Linked DNA regions of Saccharomyces cerevisiae S288C. The gene in region 1 interacts genetically with each later gene. Each region holds a gene or a part of one and is shown in the gene's direction. Other genes may lie near its edges.

Evidence for each region. A genetic interaction does not mean that the proteins touch.
Region 2: of HOP2 (region 1) and RED1, extra expression of one rescues a mutant of the other (dosage rescue), as found in Saccharomyces cerevisiae (one study listed by BioGRID).
Region 3: of HOP2 (region 1) and CLB1, extra expression of one rescues a mutant of the other (dosage rescue), as found in Saccharomyces cerevisiae (one study listed by BioGRID).

The regions. Positions count from the first base shown.
Region 1 is NC_001139.9:433,014-438,191, forward strand, and holds HOP2 (Hop2p), read left to right. Parts: upstream 1-2,611; coding exon 2,612-2,666; intron 2,667-2,736; coding exon 2,737-3,299; intron 3,300-3,361; coding exon 3,362-3,388; downstream 3,389-5,178. Other genes in the region: transcription factor MIG1, read right to left, coding at 1-49; YGL034C (uncharacterized protein), read right to left, coding at 201-566; AGA2 (Aga2p), read right to left, coding at 3,557-3,820; 60S ribosomal protein eL24 RPL24A, read right to left, coding at 4,454-4,921. UniProt on the Saccharomyces cerevisiae protein: Required for proper homologous chromosome pairing and efficient cross-over and intragenic recombination during meiosis. Stimulates DMC1-dependent homologous strand assimilation required for the resolution of meiotic double-strand breaks.
Region 2 is NC_001144.5:668,609-674,382, forward strand, and holds RED1 (Red1p), read left to right. Parts: upstream 1-1,731; coding exon 1,732-4,215; downstream 4,216-5,774. Other genes in the region: Rab family GTPase YPT6, read right to left, coding at 1-283; TMA7 (Tma7p), read right to left, coding at 860-1,054; 40S ribosomal protein eS28 RPS28B, read left to right, coding at 4,523-4,726; YLR264C-A (uncharacterized protein), read right to left, coding at 5,220-5,336.
Region 3 is NC_001139.9:701,731-706,610, forward strand, and holds CLB1 (B-type cyclin CLB1), read left to right. Parts: upstream 1-1,905; coding exon 1,906-3,321; downstream 3,322-4,880. Other genes in the region: B-type cyclin CLB6, read right to left, coding at 3,629-4,771. UniProt on the Saccharomyces cerevisiae protein: Essential for the control of the cell cycle at the G2/M (mitosis) transition. Interacts with the CDC2 protein kinase to form MPF. G2/M cyclins accumulate steadily during G2 and are abruptly destroyed at mitosis.

The DNA.
Region 1 (5,178 bases):
ACCCATCATCAACGTTAGACACTTGTGTCATTGGATATGGGCTTTGCATGGCTATGGTAGTATGTCGTCTCCACTATACTCAACTCTCGTGTAGTTACAAGCGAGCTAGAATAAATGGCTCTCTTATCTTCGAAATGCTTTACCGGGCTTTCTTACTCTCCTTTGTCTTCGTTAATGAGTACTGGGGTGAAAAAAAAGGGTTATAATAAATAAATTATCCAAGAACGACTATTCTCTTTTCTTTTTTCTGCTTGCTCTTCCCCACTTTTCTCGTCCAGCCTGTTGTAAAAATTTGTTGTTGCTTCTTTCGTATTAGTTTTTCCGAAAGAAAGCGCCGCAGGGCCTTTACCATCACTCCAGGTTTTCCCGGAGTGGGGTGGCAGTCCGCAGTCTCTCGCGAAATCAAAGGCAACAAGCAGACACGTGGAGAAAAGCCAGGAGAACTCAAGAGCTCGAACAAGTATGCTAGCAACTAAACAAGCCGGCCTACGCCACTCTGGAGTTTCTCGCGGGGCCCGGCCGCTACAGGTTTCCTGAGAAGCCATTATAATGGCAACTACATTCATCAACACTCCATAAAATCCTATCGAGTTACACTGCTAGTGTCGCAATTGCGCTTTTCTGCTGCTTAATTGTGGGCCCCAAGCTCTTATCACTTGCTACCATCCTATAAACTGTATGGAATGCCATCACAACTTTCGGAAAAATAAAGCGCTTTTTTACGCTATCAGTGGAGATATTACGAATTAGGCACAGGGAAGAAATAGATAAAAAATTCATGGGGCCAACCCCAGACGTCAATCTTCTACACGTCAAGTTTTGAAAAAAATTAAATAAAAAATAAAAAAAAAAACCGGCGCGAAGGAAACGTGCTGGCTCGCTAACTTCTAGTCTTACTGTACTGACTACCTTCCAGTCCTACTGGTTATACTGCATTGTACGGCAACTTACACACCCCACGCACTTACTTTCCTCCACAATGCCATCTAGAAAAATCGATTACCCGCTAATTTTCCGGGAAAAAGTCGATTAATGTAGGTTAGTGGCAGCTATGCTAAGCAATGATAAAGGAACCATACACGATATTTCTACAGAAGGCTATTAAATAGGGTGAAATAGGATGAAGCAACAATCAAAAATTATGAAAGCATCCGTTTTCTCGCTATTCTAATAATGGGACAGAACTGCCAATTCTTGATCTGGTGATCCATACGATTAAAATAGGGGTTCATCGCATGGAAAGTCTGTAAATCACACTTGCCTACCATAAGGAAGTCATCAATTCCCGAATTTTAAACGGGTTTCTATGAGTATTTGGAGGATGTTCATTCTTGGTAACATTACTGATGACATTCAGTGATACACTGCCTTCAAGGAAACACACGCGATAGAGGCAAAACAATGTTGCAACGGCAATTAATTTCTGTCATTGTAATGAATTTCTGCTCGTTGCTTCTAACCATATCTTGTGTAACGCTTGCGTTGATATGCAAAAATAACGAGATGGAATTTGCTGCCCTCTTTCAGCCATATGATGGCGGCAAAAACTTTGAAATTTGTGCACAGGATATAATAAGCTACTTCTTGACTCTAACGCCGTACTACAGTTTACAAAAAATGTATACAAACTCTTAGGATTGGTCAAGAAAAGTAAATGTTGTACTGCTCCAAAGATATTGCGATGCCGTGATAATTCAAAAGGGTCGACCCAGTCTATTTCACTCGCGCGATAATCGTTCGTTATCCGAAGCTGGCCAATTGATACAATTAATTGACATCAGCAGACAGCAAATGCACTTGATATACGCAGCTTAAAGCAAGGGTAAATTATCTGAAAAAGGATTGAATACAATCAAAACCTTCACATACATTGGTAGTAATATCGAGCATCGCTATTAGCAGAGTATCTCGAAGTCTACCACGGCGAAAGTTGATTTTTTATCTGAGGTGCTGATCTTCGGACGCAATGCGCAAACGTAATTCCGTAGTTTTCCCAATTATTTTATTTTTTAAATTACACGTACCAGGTAGATCACATACATATACCCAACACCTGTTATATAGTGAATTGAATTATTCGGAACATCAATAATCCTTTGCTTATAATTCTTGTTATCATCCATCTTGCATCTTTATTTAATTATATTTTGCACAATAAGCTATCTATGTGAGCTGCGTACGGTGACTCCAAACAATCTGTTAATTTCCATATAAATAACTTGTAGTCGGATCGTACAATGGCTCTATATAGGTTTGGACCGGTATGTAACCTAATATGGCTGACTCAAAACCTGCTAGATAGTTATCCAAGTGAATTTGAGTCTCGTATCCTTTATCACATTTTTACAATAGTGGCTAGCTATCTTTTTCATGTTAGGCTCACCCGGTATTCTCATGCAAGATCAAACAAAAAATGGTAAAGTTTTGGACTTTACATTGCTTACAGTTGCTTTTTTATGAAGATTCAAAAGATTATGTCCTCGGCGGCTAAATTTTCCATTAATAATATTATCCTTTTACGCGACCGAAAAAGAGAAGCGTTTTAAGAGTTGTTTCTAACAAATATTAATAATAAAGCTAACGTGAACTGACCAGGCTCTATTTGAAAGATATGGCACCGAAAAAGAAATCAAACGATAGAGCCATTCAGGCAAAAGGCTCAGAAGGTTAAGTATTTTTTTACATGCTCATCAAATACCGCCATTACTAACAATTGTACCCCGGGTATTTTATCAGCTGAACAATTAATAGAAGATTACTTGGTGTCACAATATAAACCATTTTCTGTAAATGATATAGTTCAGAATTTGCACAATAAAGTGACAAAAACAACAGCAACCAAAGCATTAGAAAATCTCGTTAACGAGAAACGCATAGTGTCTAAAACCTTCGGAAAGATTATAATTTACTCTTGTAATGAACAAGATACAGCATTACCAAGCAATATTGATCCTTCTCAGTTTGATTTTGAAACTGTATTGCAACTGAGAAATGATTTAATAGAACTAGAGAGAGATAAATCAACGGCCAAAGACGCTCTTGACTCTGTAACTAAAGAACCTGAAAATGAAGATCTCCTAACAATCATTGAAAACGAAGAAAACGAGTTGAAAAAGATTGAATCAAAATTACAAAGTCTACAGGATGATTGGGATCCAGCAAATGATGAGATTGTCAAGCGGATAATGTCTGAAGATACGCTGCTACAAAAAGAAATCACGAAGAGATCAAAGATTTGCAAAAACCTAATTGCTACAATAAAGGACTCAGTGTGCCCGAAAAATATGAATGAATTTTTGGTATGTATTTTGAACATTTTTCGAGACCTTTTCTTTTGAATATACTAACGAAATCTTTACAGGAAGAAATTGGATTTGAGGACATTTGATGTGAAAAGCAATTGGTTGTTCCGTACCGGAACACTTGCTATTTTACTTATCATGATTGTTTTTTTTTCTTATTCTTTGCTATTATTATCAAATTATATATAGGTAAATAATCTTACACTAGTTTATAAGTGTCACGAACGATGAAATGGAAACTTGGGGGGGAAGGCTCAAAAAACATACTGTGTGTTTATGGGGCTGCCTTTGCTAGTTGTTGAGGGGTGAGAACCGCAATTACTGACAAACGTTACTGATTTGTAATATTCAAAAACTCCTTGCATTGCCTTCCCGTTGGCCAAAATAGTAGTCGTTGACAAAGAGTACGGCGTCGATTCTAAAGTTGGTGAGGGGATTTGCTCGCATATAGTTGTCAGTTCCTGTGCTAAAACTGAAGCAATAACAGAAAATATTGAAAAACAGCGAAGTAACTGCATCTTAATTGAAAATGTATGAAGTAGGTATAATATTTTGGCACACAAGTGACTGTTGAGAGCTTACAATCATTCTAGAATGAGGAATACGTCAAAATGGAAACTTAACATATCACCTCTTCTTACAACTATTTATATTGTATATTTACAAGGGAAATCAATTGCCTGATATTCAGTATATTGGATCTGAAGGTATGAAACAGTCCCTTAATTAAGCTTTAGATGCGGACAGAAGTTTTTTTGTTAAACTTGCATGTCAAATTTCAAACTGCGTGTAATTACCGTATTCGGAAATTACATGGTTTCAGTAATTTTGCAATAAACGCAGCAACCGGTGATGGCGAAGTTTTACCATCAAACAATAACTTATAATAACTGAATGCCGGCAGGTTGAAACAAATTCTTGAAAATTAGTCATTTATTCTATTGTGCGAATGTAATCCACTGAAATCATCTAAAGCACCATTACCATTGTCTAGCCTGTGAATAAAAAAATATGGGAGTATAATGATAGAGAAGTGGATGGTAGATTATACCTCGCGAATGAATTATACAGAAAATAATACTAAATTGAAATATTTAAAAATGATTTAAAAGAAAAATATTCATTGTACATAATAAGTTCGAGCATAAATCTTAACGAGAAGTAGCAGCAACCTTTTGGAAAGCACCCTTAGCTTGTTGCTTGGAGAACTTAGAACTTTGAGTACCAGCAGACTTAGCCTTTTCAGCCTTTCTAGCAGCCTTTTCAGCCTTCTTCTTTTCTTTGTTGGCCTTCAATTTTTCTTCTCTGTTAGCCTTTCTAACTTCTGGCTTCAAAGATCTTCTTTCCTTGATCAAGTCCAAAGAAGCACCGGTAATTGGTCTTTGGGCCTTAACGGTTTTTCTAGATCTCTTCTTAGCAACTTCTTCGGTGATACCCTTCTTGTGATGCTTTCTGAATAAGACAGTCCAAGCGATTCTTCTTGGGTTCTTTCTTTGCTTGAACAAAGAGGCAGATTTGGAGTTTTGGAATCTGAAGATTTTGGAGTCACCACGGACAAACAAGGTACCTCTGCCTGGGTAGATTTTGGCACCTGAAAAAGAATCGATTTCAACCTTCATTTTATCACTATATTAATCCACGTTTTTCAAACATATTTGAAAAAAAAAATGTTAGTAAGTCTATGCTTTTCATAGGTAGCCATCTTGTCAATATAAATAATGGTAATCCGCATGGTTGTTCAGGCGTTCGCAAAATTGTAGGAAGAGGAGAACGTGGAAATATGGACTTTTTGCAAATTCAGAATTCATTTTACTAGGTTCTTGCAACATGGATAACATCTCACGCTGTTATTTTTCATGCTTCTCCATATCGTATA
Region 2 (5,774 bases), on another chromosome or scaffold:
TCTTCGTAATGTCGTAAACGATAATAGCAACTCTCGAATCTCTGATATATGAAGGTATTAATGATCTAAATCTTTCCTGACCTGCTGTATCCCATAACTGTAATCTAATTGTCTTATCATCCAAATACATGGTCTTGGAAAGAAAATCTATACCAATCGTGGCTTGGTAATGATCATCGAACGTATCATACATAAATCTAGTGATCAGCGATGTTTTTCCAACACCCTGTTCTCCCAAAAAAACAATTTTGTACTTTGTCAATGATTTCCCGGATCTGCTCATTGTTAATCTCTTCTTTGTTTATCTTTTACTGTTCAGAATCAACAGCTTCAAACACTTCTTTTCACACAACCTTAAGTGCCCAATTGTGATATTCTTACATCATACATAGTAACAATCTATATATGGGCAATATTTTCCTCCACTAATTGAGCTGTGCTGAAGGCTTTATTACCCGGAAATTATTCGGCCATTTTTCACTAGAAGTTAATACCAGCACTAACGAATAGAAGCACCCTATTCTACTCAAGATGCCCGGTTCATGAATAGGGAGAAGTATTTTTCTTATTTTCCTTAGCCATCTATAAATATTTATCCTTATGCCTGTCACCACAATAGAAAAGGGTCCATTATATATCAGTTGTTTTCGTACCTCTAGAGAGACACGCAAGGGGCTTTATTTAGGAAACCTCCAAATTTGCTAGATGTAACCATTATACATAGTAATTACGATTGTAAAACATCGGAAAGAACGATATATCTTGCAAATAGCTTTTCTTTGGTAATATATGTATTTACTTAAAAAACGAGAACTAGAAAATACTGAGTAAATTTTTATTAGACGTTGTTAAAGGCCTTTTATTTCTTACCAGATTTTTTGATACCACCACCCACTAAAGGTTTACCACTTTTCATATTAGCCATCAAAGCTTTCTTAGCAGCAGCATCGGCCTTTTGCTTCTCTTTGAAGGCAATGTCTTCAGGATCTAAGTCCTGTTGTTGCTTCTTCTTTTGCTTTAGAGGCTTCATCTTACCACCTTGGCGACTAGACATGATTGCTTAGGGTTTTTCAGTTATTCTTCTGGTTTTGCAACTTACTGTGCGTGGAAGAGCAATCAATTACAGGATTTTAAACATGAAATTTTTTATTTTCCTCGTTCATTTTCGTCGCGGGAAACTTCCAGAAGTATAGATTTACTACAATTTTTATCTCAGGACAGAAAGAATAAACCAAAAAAGCCAAGACAAGCCAAGCCAAGCCGAGGCGACTGGAGGAGCTTTTCATCACATTCAATGACAAATCACAACAGGTTTCCCTGTTAGAAAAGGCATGTGCACTCACAATTCATATTTTCATACAGAAGATATACATTGGATTTCTGGAGATATCAGGTAAGGTTCGACAAAAACAATGGCGTTTGCCAACCCTTTATGATGGGTGATCTTGTATCCGCTTAATTGTGTGATCTAAAAAGGCAAAGTAACGTATTATTGGCTGGTTTATATAATTTGAATATGACTACTTTTTCAACGTTAAAAACGATAAATACTTGCTCAAAGGGTTCAGCGGCTAAATAAACTACGATTTCGCAGCAGGATCAGATGGATTCAATCACATCATTCGCAAAACATTCACATCATTCGTGAAGCATTAAAGGTAATAAGAAAAATAGAACAAAGATTTTTTAATCAGTGAGGACCACAAAGGGACAGCAAATACGGTGATAAGAATGGAAGGTTTGAAGAAAAAGATTTTTGGTGTTTGCCTGAAAAATGACTTAGCACAGACTAGGAATGAAACGAAAGGAATCCACTATGGGTTAATGACTTTGGAAACTTCTAAACAACTGCAGGAATTTCTCCATTTGCTAGTAATAAAGAGAGAAGTAATTCAAAATTTTGAGTTGTTATTTCACATCATAAATGTTGCCGTTAAAATCACCGATTCAAATCTTCCAAGTGATGATATCTGGCATTTCATTTTAAAATTAAGATTTTCTTCTGAGATTAATATAGACGAAGACTCCAAAGTTTTAAATTATTTACTTGAGACTGGCATCGCAATGGAAAATCCAGTCAGTTGGAAATGCTTGGCCGTTATTAGCAGCATCCTCAGCAGTGTCCCTCAATCCAAAAAGATTATAACTAACCTGATCGAGACAGAACATGCCAAAAAGATTGGTCAGTTGTTTGATAATATTCAAGATTTGCAACAAGGAAATTTTCTGGTGGAAATTCTCTCTAACTGTTTTAAAAAAAGTGCTTCAAATTCCAAGAAAGTGGAAAAAATACCTCAGTTATGGCAAAGCAGGTCTAAGAACAAGTTTTTCTTTGAAAATGAATTTTACCCTTTTAGCAGCAAAAATGGGAGCTTACAAACCTGCCAATTCCTGTGCAATAATTTCATGTCAACTTTATCCTTTACGGGTATTCTAAGGCAGGTTTCTTATAGCGGATCTGAAACATTAAAAAATCTCCGTATATTTAAGAAAAAAGACGATGAAAATTCTTACTTCATTCAGTGCATTTACAACAAAATCTATCTTTGGTTAGACGAAAAAGCCCCTTTGGAATTTGAAAGAAAGAAAATCAGGATTACCAAAAACTTAAAAAATAAAATTCAAATTAAATTGAGGCAACCTTTCCATGAATGTGTGAGAACTACCGCTGATAAAACAGCACTCTTATTTAACAAAACGAAGGGGTTTCAGCTGGAATTTGAAGACGAGAAATTAGGTGAAACTTTTTTTCACAATGTCAACAATATACCTAAGATTAGTGAAGTACAAAACTTTTTAGTTTTAGACTATATTGAAGAAGAACCAGAGAATGAAGGTGAAGAAGAAGAGCAAATCGGAAGGGCAGATGAGCAGAAAGAGGATGAAGAGGAAGAATCTCTCGATGAATTATCCACTCCCATGGTATATCCAATAAAATCATCTATTCCCCATAATCATAACGAAAAGGTTCAGTTAGTCACTCCCGACCGTTCTGTTTCCATAAGATCTGATGAATGGGATTTAAAGTCAAATACTGAAGACGAAGAAGGTAATGTTCTTGCAGACCTGAAAATAAGCAGCACTAAGGAAACAAAAAGGCAAACAGACTACGTCCATATTGATTCAGAAGACCAGTCACCAGTAGTATCCGCTCAGATGAGAAAAATGAGAAGAGAATCTACGAAAACACTAGAAATATTGAGACAAGAGTTTAAAGATAAGGATGTACAAAACAAAGAAGACCAGTCCGAACAAATACAAAACCCGTTTGTAAATACATCCTCGTTAGTTGTAGGTAAATCCTGTCTTGTTAATCCTAAGGAAAAGCCTAATATTGATCAAACGGTAGTCGGAATAACCGAATTAAAGTCAAATTCTTCCATTAAGAAAAGGGATATCAACATTCTCGACACTATATTTGGGCAACCTCCGTCCAAGAAGCAAAAACAATTCCACAAAAAGGAGAAAAAGAAGCAGCAGAAAAAGTTGACAAACTTTAAGCCCATTATCGATGTCCCTTCCCAAGATAAACGAAACCTTAGGTCAAACGCTCCGACAAAACCCAAATCCATAAAAGTAAGTAAGCTGCGTACCGATAAGAAAGTTACAGGGGAAAAATCAAGCCCAGAAACAGCGGCAGAGAAAGTTGATGATCAAACTGTGCGTAGCAACGATGAACAAGCAATGAGCAGAGCAACTAAAGAAAAGTGCTTTCCAGATGTCAATGAAGGCAAAGAAATTACTAAGGATGACGCTAAAGTATCTCTCGAGTCCAAAAAAAACAACGAAACTTTTGTTGATTCAAGTGTAGTAGAAAAACATACCCCCCCAGACAAAGACTGTAACAATTGTAACATTACAGATATTTTGGAATCTACCACTGTTATCGACTTGCAGTCACCCCATGGATTATCTGCTCCTGGTCAGAATACTTTCACAAACAAACTTCAAGAACAAATTTATAGTTCAATAAATCATTTTTCTAACGAATTGGTAAGAAAAATTTCGATAATAAACCAAGAGTTAAATAAGAAAATCTTAAAAGAGTTGTCCGAAAAATACCAAAAACTATTCTCCGAATTACAAGATAATTTCCAGAATGATACCAATGAGATGCTTAAATTCATGGGCGAGATCAAAGACATGATGAATCTCCCGGAAGATCAGCTCGTTCATGCTATTAGGACAAGAAAATTTGATAACAACAAGAGATAAATAGTATACATATACGCAATTCTTTTTAGATTTAAGATGGCTAATAAAAGTAATATAGGCAAGCTTATTCATGTTCGAATCTTTTTTTTCTCGCAGAGCTAGTACTCTGGCAATCGACACTTATTTCGTACAAAATGATCACGCAACTTTTGACAATTTTTTTTTTTTCATCTGTTTTCCAGGAAACTTGGATCTTTTTTGCTCCATAGCACTTTTGGTCTTCCTCAATTAAATATTTCTAGATCCCGGTAGTTCTTCTTCTTTGATCATTAATAAAAAATAAGCAAAGCATAAAAGAGCAGCAAAAATGGATTCTAAGACCCCAGTCACCTTAGCTAAAGTCATCAAAGTTTTAGGCCGTACCGGTTCTCGTGGTGGTGTTACCCAAGTTCGTGTTGAGTTCTTGGAAGACACTTCCCGTACCATTGTCAGAAATGTCAAGGGTCCAGTTAGAGAAAACGACATTTTGGTCTTGATGGAATCTGAACGTGAAGCTCGTCGTTTGCGTTAAAGGTATATTAAAAAATTTACTATTGGTGCTCTTCGAGCATTGTTTTTTTTCTATATTTACAAACAACAGCTTATTTTTTAATATTTCTCAAAAAATGAAGTTCGAATGATTATTTTAATTGAGTTTAGTGATGAAATCGATTGCAAATAATATAAACGTTGGTAAGCTCATCTAAACAATCGAAAGGAGGGATAGAAGACAGTAGGTGTTTGTGCTTTGGTCGGTTTTTCCATTCGGTGAATTCATACATCTCCTTTATTAATTTTAATGGATTCTTTACAAGGGATTTTCGGTTGCCAAAAACAGAGAACAAATGCGTAGAAATACTCAATGATGTCAATTTTTCAAAAAATGAATTAAATGATTGAAGTCACTTAATTTTTGTGGTTTTTTGGAGGTGGGTTGAGTGTACAACTCACTATAATTGATGAGATATTCGACGAACTTGTTACTTTTTTGGATTCCAGAATGTTTACTGAATTTTAAGAATTAATTAATTTGAGGCTAACCTGTATGGCATGGAATAACGAATCGACAAGAAGTCTCTTACTGTAACTTTCTTTTTTTTTGGTGCATCTATCGTTAAATACAATTTAAATATTACATTCATGTACTTACTCAATATAATAATCTGATTACTTCATACAATAGAAGAGAAAGAAACAGTCTCTAAAACTGCTGTCATAACGCGTGGTGTTGTGGTTTTGCTTAATTTTTTTAGACCCATGCACCAGATATTGATCCAATTTTTTTTTGTGGCTCTTTTGCCAATCGCTCTTATTAAGTAAGTTTACATCCGCGGTTATGTTTTGCGTCTAAATTTCATTTACAGTGATGGCGAGCTTGCGCGGCTATTTTTTATGCAGTTTATCATTTAGACACTCAGAAGCTGCAGTGATGTAAGATACTGCTTGAAACTACCGTTAGATTAATAATAAACAATTAGAACTGTCCTAATACATATAAACTTATATGCTCCCTATCAATGGCATAACGTTACCATTCAATAAATTAACATTATCAATGCGTCAACAAAGGAATAGAACTA
Region 3 (4,880 bases), 270 kb from region 1:
AGATTATCACCATAGTTACATATGTAGGGAATGGCAACCAACCTGTTCCAACATTCTATTCAGACCGAGAAAATCCAGTAGGACTTAACGGTGGTTCCGAAATTCTATTTATATCATTGCTATTAGCTTTATGTATATTGGCAATTGAAGCGGTTCTTCTTCATGACATAATAGTCCATCAACTGTTCGTGCAATTGATACAAATTAATTTTGAAGGCAATATTTAAGTTTGGTTTTCTTACGCAGAATACTTTTTAAAGTATCAACTTTCGTGCATCAGCTTCTGTCAGGTTCAATGATTGTTTAATTCTGGTCTTCAGGTCATATAATTTCACACCATTTTTTATCATCGCTTCTTGAAAATTCGATGTAAGGTAAATAATAGCTTCAGTTTGTTGCATGAGTAATATGCGGAAGATAACTGATTGTTATTTTAGCAGAAATCAATCAAGATGAAAATATCCACTACTTCGAAAATACGTAGCAAGCCAAGTTCAATCGGTAATCTATAGGTTCGGCAAGAGACTTTGCAATGCTAATGTTTACATTTCCTTGCCACAGTTCTCGTTGGAAACAAGCCTAATGTTAACGTATTTTCACCCGCATTAAACTACAATTGTTTTGGACGTAAGAATTTACAGCGCAATTGTTCTTTTCTATTTTATCATTACGATTGTTCCAAGAGCTTCTTGCGTTATTTACCATATATTCTTGATCTATGAATGATAATAAACAAGAGTAAATGAATGTTTTATATGTTCATAATGACAACAACTGGGGGGGAAATGAAAATATTTATCTTCTATTCATAGTAAAAATAATCTTAAAATTGAAACTAACGCTGAAAACTGCAACAGTTACGGCATTTTTTATTGATGCGTAAAAGCATTGTCTTTGTCAATTTTTGAACTATCGAATTGCTCCATAATATCATTCATGGTGTTATCCAATTATTTAGTAAGCTTCGCTTGTACTCAGTCATTTTTTTTTTTTGCATCCAATTTTATTGAAAGTCCGCCCGCTCTGTTAAAAAAGGCGTTTCTTCCAAATTTGAATAGGACACGATCGAGATTCCCTCCGATTAATTATGTGCTACTGGCTCCTCTTTCGTCGTATTGCAAGTGGACTTTTCAACGAGGCTATGCATGCCCAGTGTCATTCTTGAAGCAGGCACACACAGACGCGCTTCAATTAGTTTTCTTTACTAGATGCATCATTTGGGCGGTTTTTCACTACCGTTTTCGAGTAGGGGCTCTCACAAAACGGGCACGACCTTTTGTTTACAACCGCCCAAAGAGGAAAAACATCAACAATCAAGAAGCGGACACAAAATATAGAAGCACCATAAAACTCACGTCAACGGTAACTTTAAATTTGTTGTATTAATTAATCATTTTCAACTTGCATTTTTACAGCATCATTTATGGGTATCCTGCAAGTTAGGTGCGGAACGTACATAACATATTACTTCAATTTGCGTTCCGCATACGGTCTGCCCAATTTGTTTTGTTTGTGATTTCCTCATTCGTCTTCCTCTGCAGAAACGGGTTTGATCCTTCTTTTATGAATACGGCGTGTAGTTATATATATTAAGTAATAGAAGTTATTGCACTTCTGTGTAAGAAGAAGATACTAGGGTGATCTATTCTAGGCAATTTTGGTTGTATTGTGTTTTTTACATTCGGCCAAACTTGAGCAGGCTGCAATTTTAGTGTCTTCGGTTTTTCCAGCGACAGTTTTACTTGTGGCTCTTGGTATAGTTTCTTAAAACTATTAAAGTTGCTAACTGGTGCAGCTGTTTAGATCACAAAAGCGTAATTAAGAATAAGATCTACCAACAAGAACAGAGCCAAAATATTTTCGTCCGTTATATCAACCATCAAAGGAAGCTTTAATCTTCTCATAATGTCACGATCCCTTTTGGTAGAGAATAGTAGAACCATTAATAGTAATGAAGAGAAGGGGGTAAACGAAAGTCAATATATCTTACAAAAGAGAAACGTCCCAAGGACCATTCTCGGTAATGTCACAAATAATGCAAATATCCTGCAAGAGATTTCTATGAACAGAAAAATTGGGATGAAGAACTTCTCAAAATTGAACAACTTCTTTCCTTTAAAGGATGATGTTTCGAGAGCCGATGACTTCACCTCCTCTTTTAATGACAGTAGACAGGGGGTGAAACAAGAAGTACTAAACAATAAGGAAAATATTCCTGAATATGGATATTCCGAGCAAGAAAAGCAGCAGTGCTCAAATGATGACTCTTTTCATACGAATTCGACTGCCTTGAGCTGTAATCGGTTGATATACTCTGAGAACAAGTCTATTTCCACTCAAATGGAATGGCAGAAAAAAATAATGAGAGAAGATTCCAAAAAAAAAAGGCCAATATCAACTCTTGTAGAGCAGGATGACCAGAAAAAGTTCAAACTCCATGAATTGACTACAGAAGAAGAGGTTCTGGAGGAGTACGAATGGGATGACCTAGATGAAGAAGATTGTGATGATCCCTTAATGGTGAGCGAAGAGGTTAATGATATCTTCGATTATTTGCATCACTTGGAAATAATCACATTGCCAAATAAGGCGAATCTCTATAAGCATAAAAATATTAAGCAAAACAGAGACATTTTGGTGAACTGGATAATCAAGATTCATAATAAGTTTGGCCTTCTGCCGGAAACTCTATATTTGGCCATAAACATAATGGATAGATTTCTTTGTGAAGAGGTGGTTCAGTTAAATAGATTGCAACTGGTTGGTACATCATGCCTGTTCATCGCATCTAAGTATGAGGAAATATACTCCCCTAGCATAAAACATTTTGCGTACGAGACAGACGGTGCATGCTCTGTGGAAGATATTAAAGAGGGTGAAAGATTTATATTGGAAAAACTCGATTTTCAAATTAGTTTCGCTAACCCAATGAATTTCTTAAGGAGAATATCAAAAGCGGATGACTATGATATCCAGTCTAGGACGTTAGCGAAGTTCCTAATGGAAATATCTATAGTGGACTTCAAGTTCATCGGGATATTACCGTCATTATGTGCCTCAGCGGCAATGTTCCTTTCGAGAAAAATGCTGGGCAAGGGCACCTGGGATGGCAACTTAATCCATTATAGTGGTGGTTACACAAAGGCAAAACTATATCCCGTTTGCCAATTACTGATGGATTATCTTGTTGGATCTACTATTCACGACGAGTTCTTGAAAAAATATCAATCGAGAAGATTTTTAAAGGCTTCCATAATTTCTATCGAATGGGCATTGAAGGTAAGGAAAAATGGATATGATATTATGACATTGCATGAGTGAAGGTGCTAGCCTACACAGAAAACCAAAATCTCACTTCCTTACTTTATCATCTATTTTATAGAAAAATCAGGCATTCATTATTCATATAACGGTTATCTCATATATATTATCACACGGTATCAGTTTTGTAGGCTGTAATAATTAATTCATTTATAAATTTTTTCTCCCATAATTGGAAAATTATCTTTAAAGTGAGGAATAATGCATTTTCTTTCTTTTTTTGAATACATAAAAGAAATAAAGAAGTATGTCTATCGATGATATTTAAGATGCAGGGGGTTAGCTGGCTATAATTTTGATCTATGTTTCAACGTTTTTGTTTACACCAGTCAAAAACCTTGAAATAAACCATGCCATGTTTAGGCTTTTTGTATTTAAGTCTCAAGGAATCTAGATTCGTATCAGGTACAGCAATATCTTCAACTAGTTCACTGATAAAATCCTTAAACGCTGGATCTGATTCAATATCAATGCCGCCACTATAATGAATAAAAGTTTCATCCCATTTGGAATTTTCATTTTTAATTTTTCTGGCGATATACATGGACATTGCAGCTAAATATGATGGCTTCAGGTGGATGAATTTATTACAACAAATCGAATATTCCATGATGAATTTGGCCATGTTCCTTGTTTCAATGCAGTAATTGTCAGCTTTTGAAATTCTCCTAATGAAATTTAGGGGGTTTGGTAGAGATATGTTATAACCTAAAGAACTTAGAACGAATAGCTCAGCCTTCCTAATTCCTTCGACAGTGGCAGCACCGTCAGTCACGTACGCAAAATTTGTTATTTTTGGTAATTTAACTTCTTCAAATTTACAGGCAATGAACAGGCAAGTGATGCATAGTAGTTGTAATTTATTCAATTTAACAACATTTTGTGATAAAAATCGATCTAGCAGGTTGATCGCTAAAAATAATGTTTCAGGTAAGCAGTGAAATTTCTCATGAACTTCAACCAACCAGTCAATTAACAGCGCCCTCATGGAGCTTTTCAAATGATAGGGAGATTGCGTGTCCATTAAATAGTTATGTGTCGGTAGCATTTGGATTTCCTTCTCGTAAAGATGAGAAAATATAGAATCTGTATATTCTGCTACCATGAATGGATCATCCATCTCTATCGAATCCAAATTTTTCCATTGATGACATTTTATTTTTTTCACAGTTTTTGGCTCTATAGGATCGGTTGAATCATTTGATAATTGTCTCTTTCTTGTTTTTTCCAAATGGGTGGAATCTCTTTGCAATTTACCTCGAGGGAGTTGTAAAGAATCGATTTTGTTACTGTTTACCTCGGATAGAACTTTTTTTTCATTCGTAGAGTGAGGTGTCAAGTTAATTGAACTTTCTCTTGGAATGGTATGGAAAGCATTTTCCTTGCCTATACAATCTTCATTATTAATTTGGATTTTCCTTTCACTAATTGGACTAGGGATACAATTCATTTTAAAAATTTAAAAGGAGGGAGAGAATATCAGAGAATAATAATTTTCAACACACTGATTTGTATGTTGTATGAACGCTAGATTAGTGAAGCTTGTTATTATTTAATAA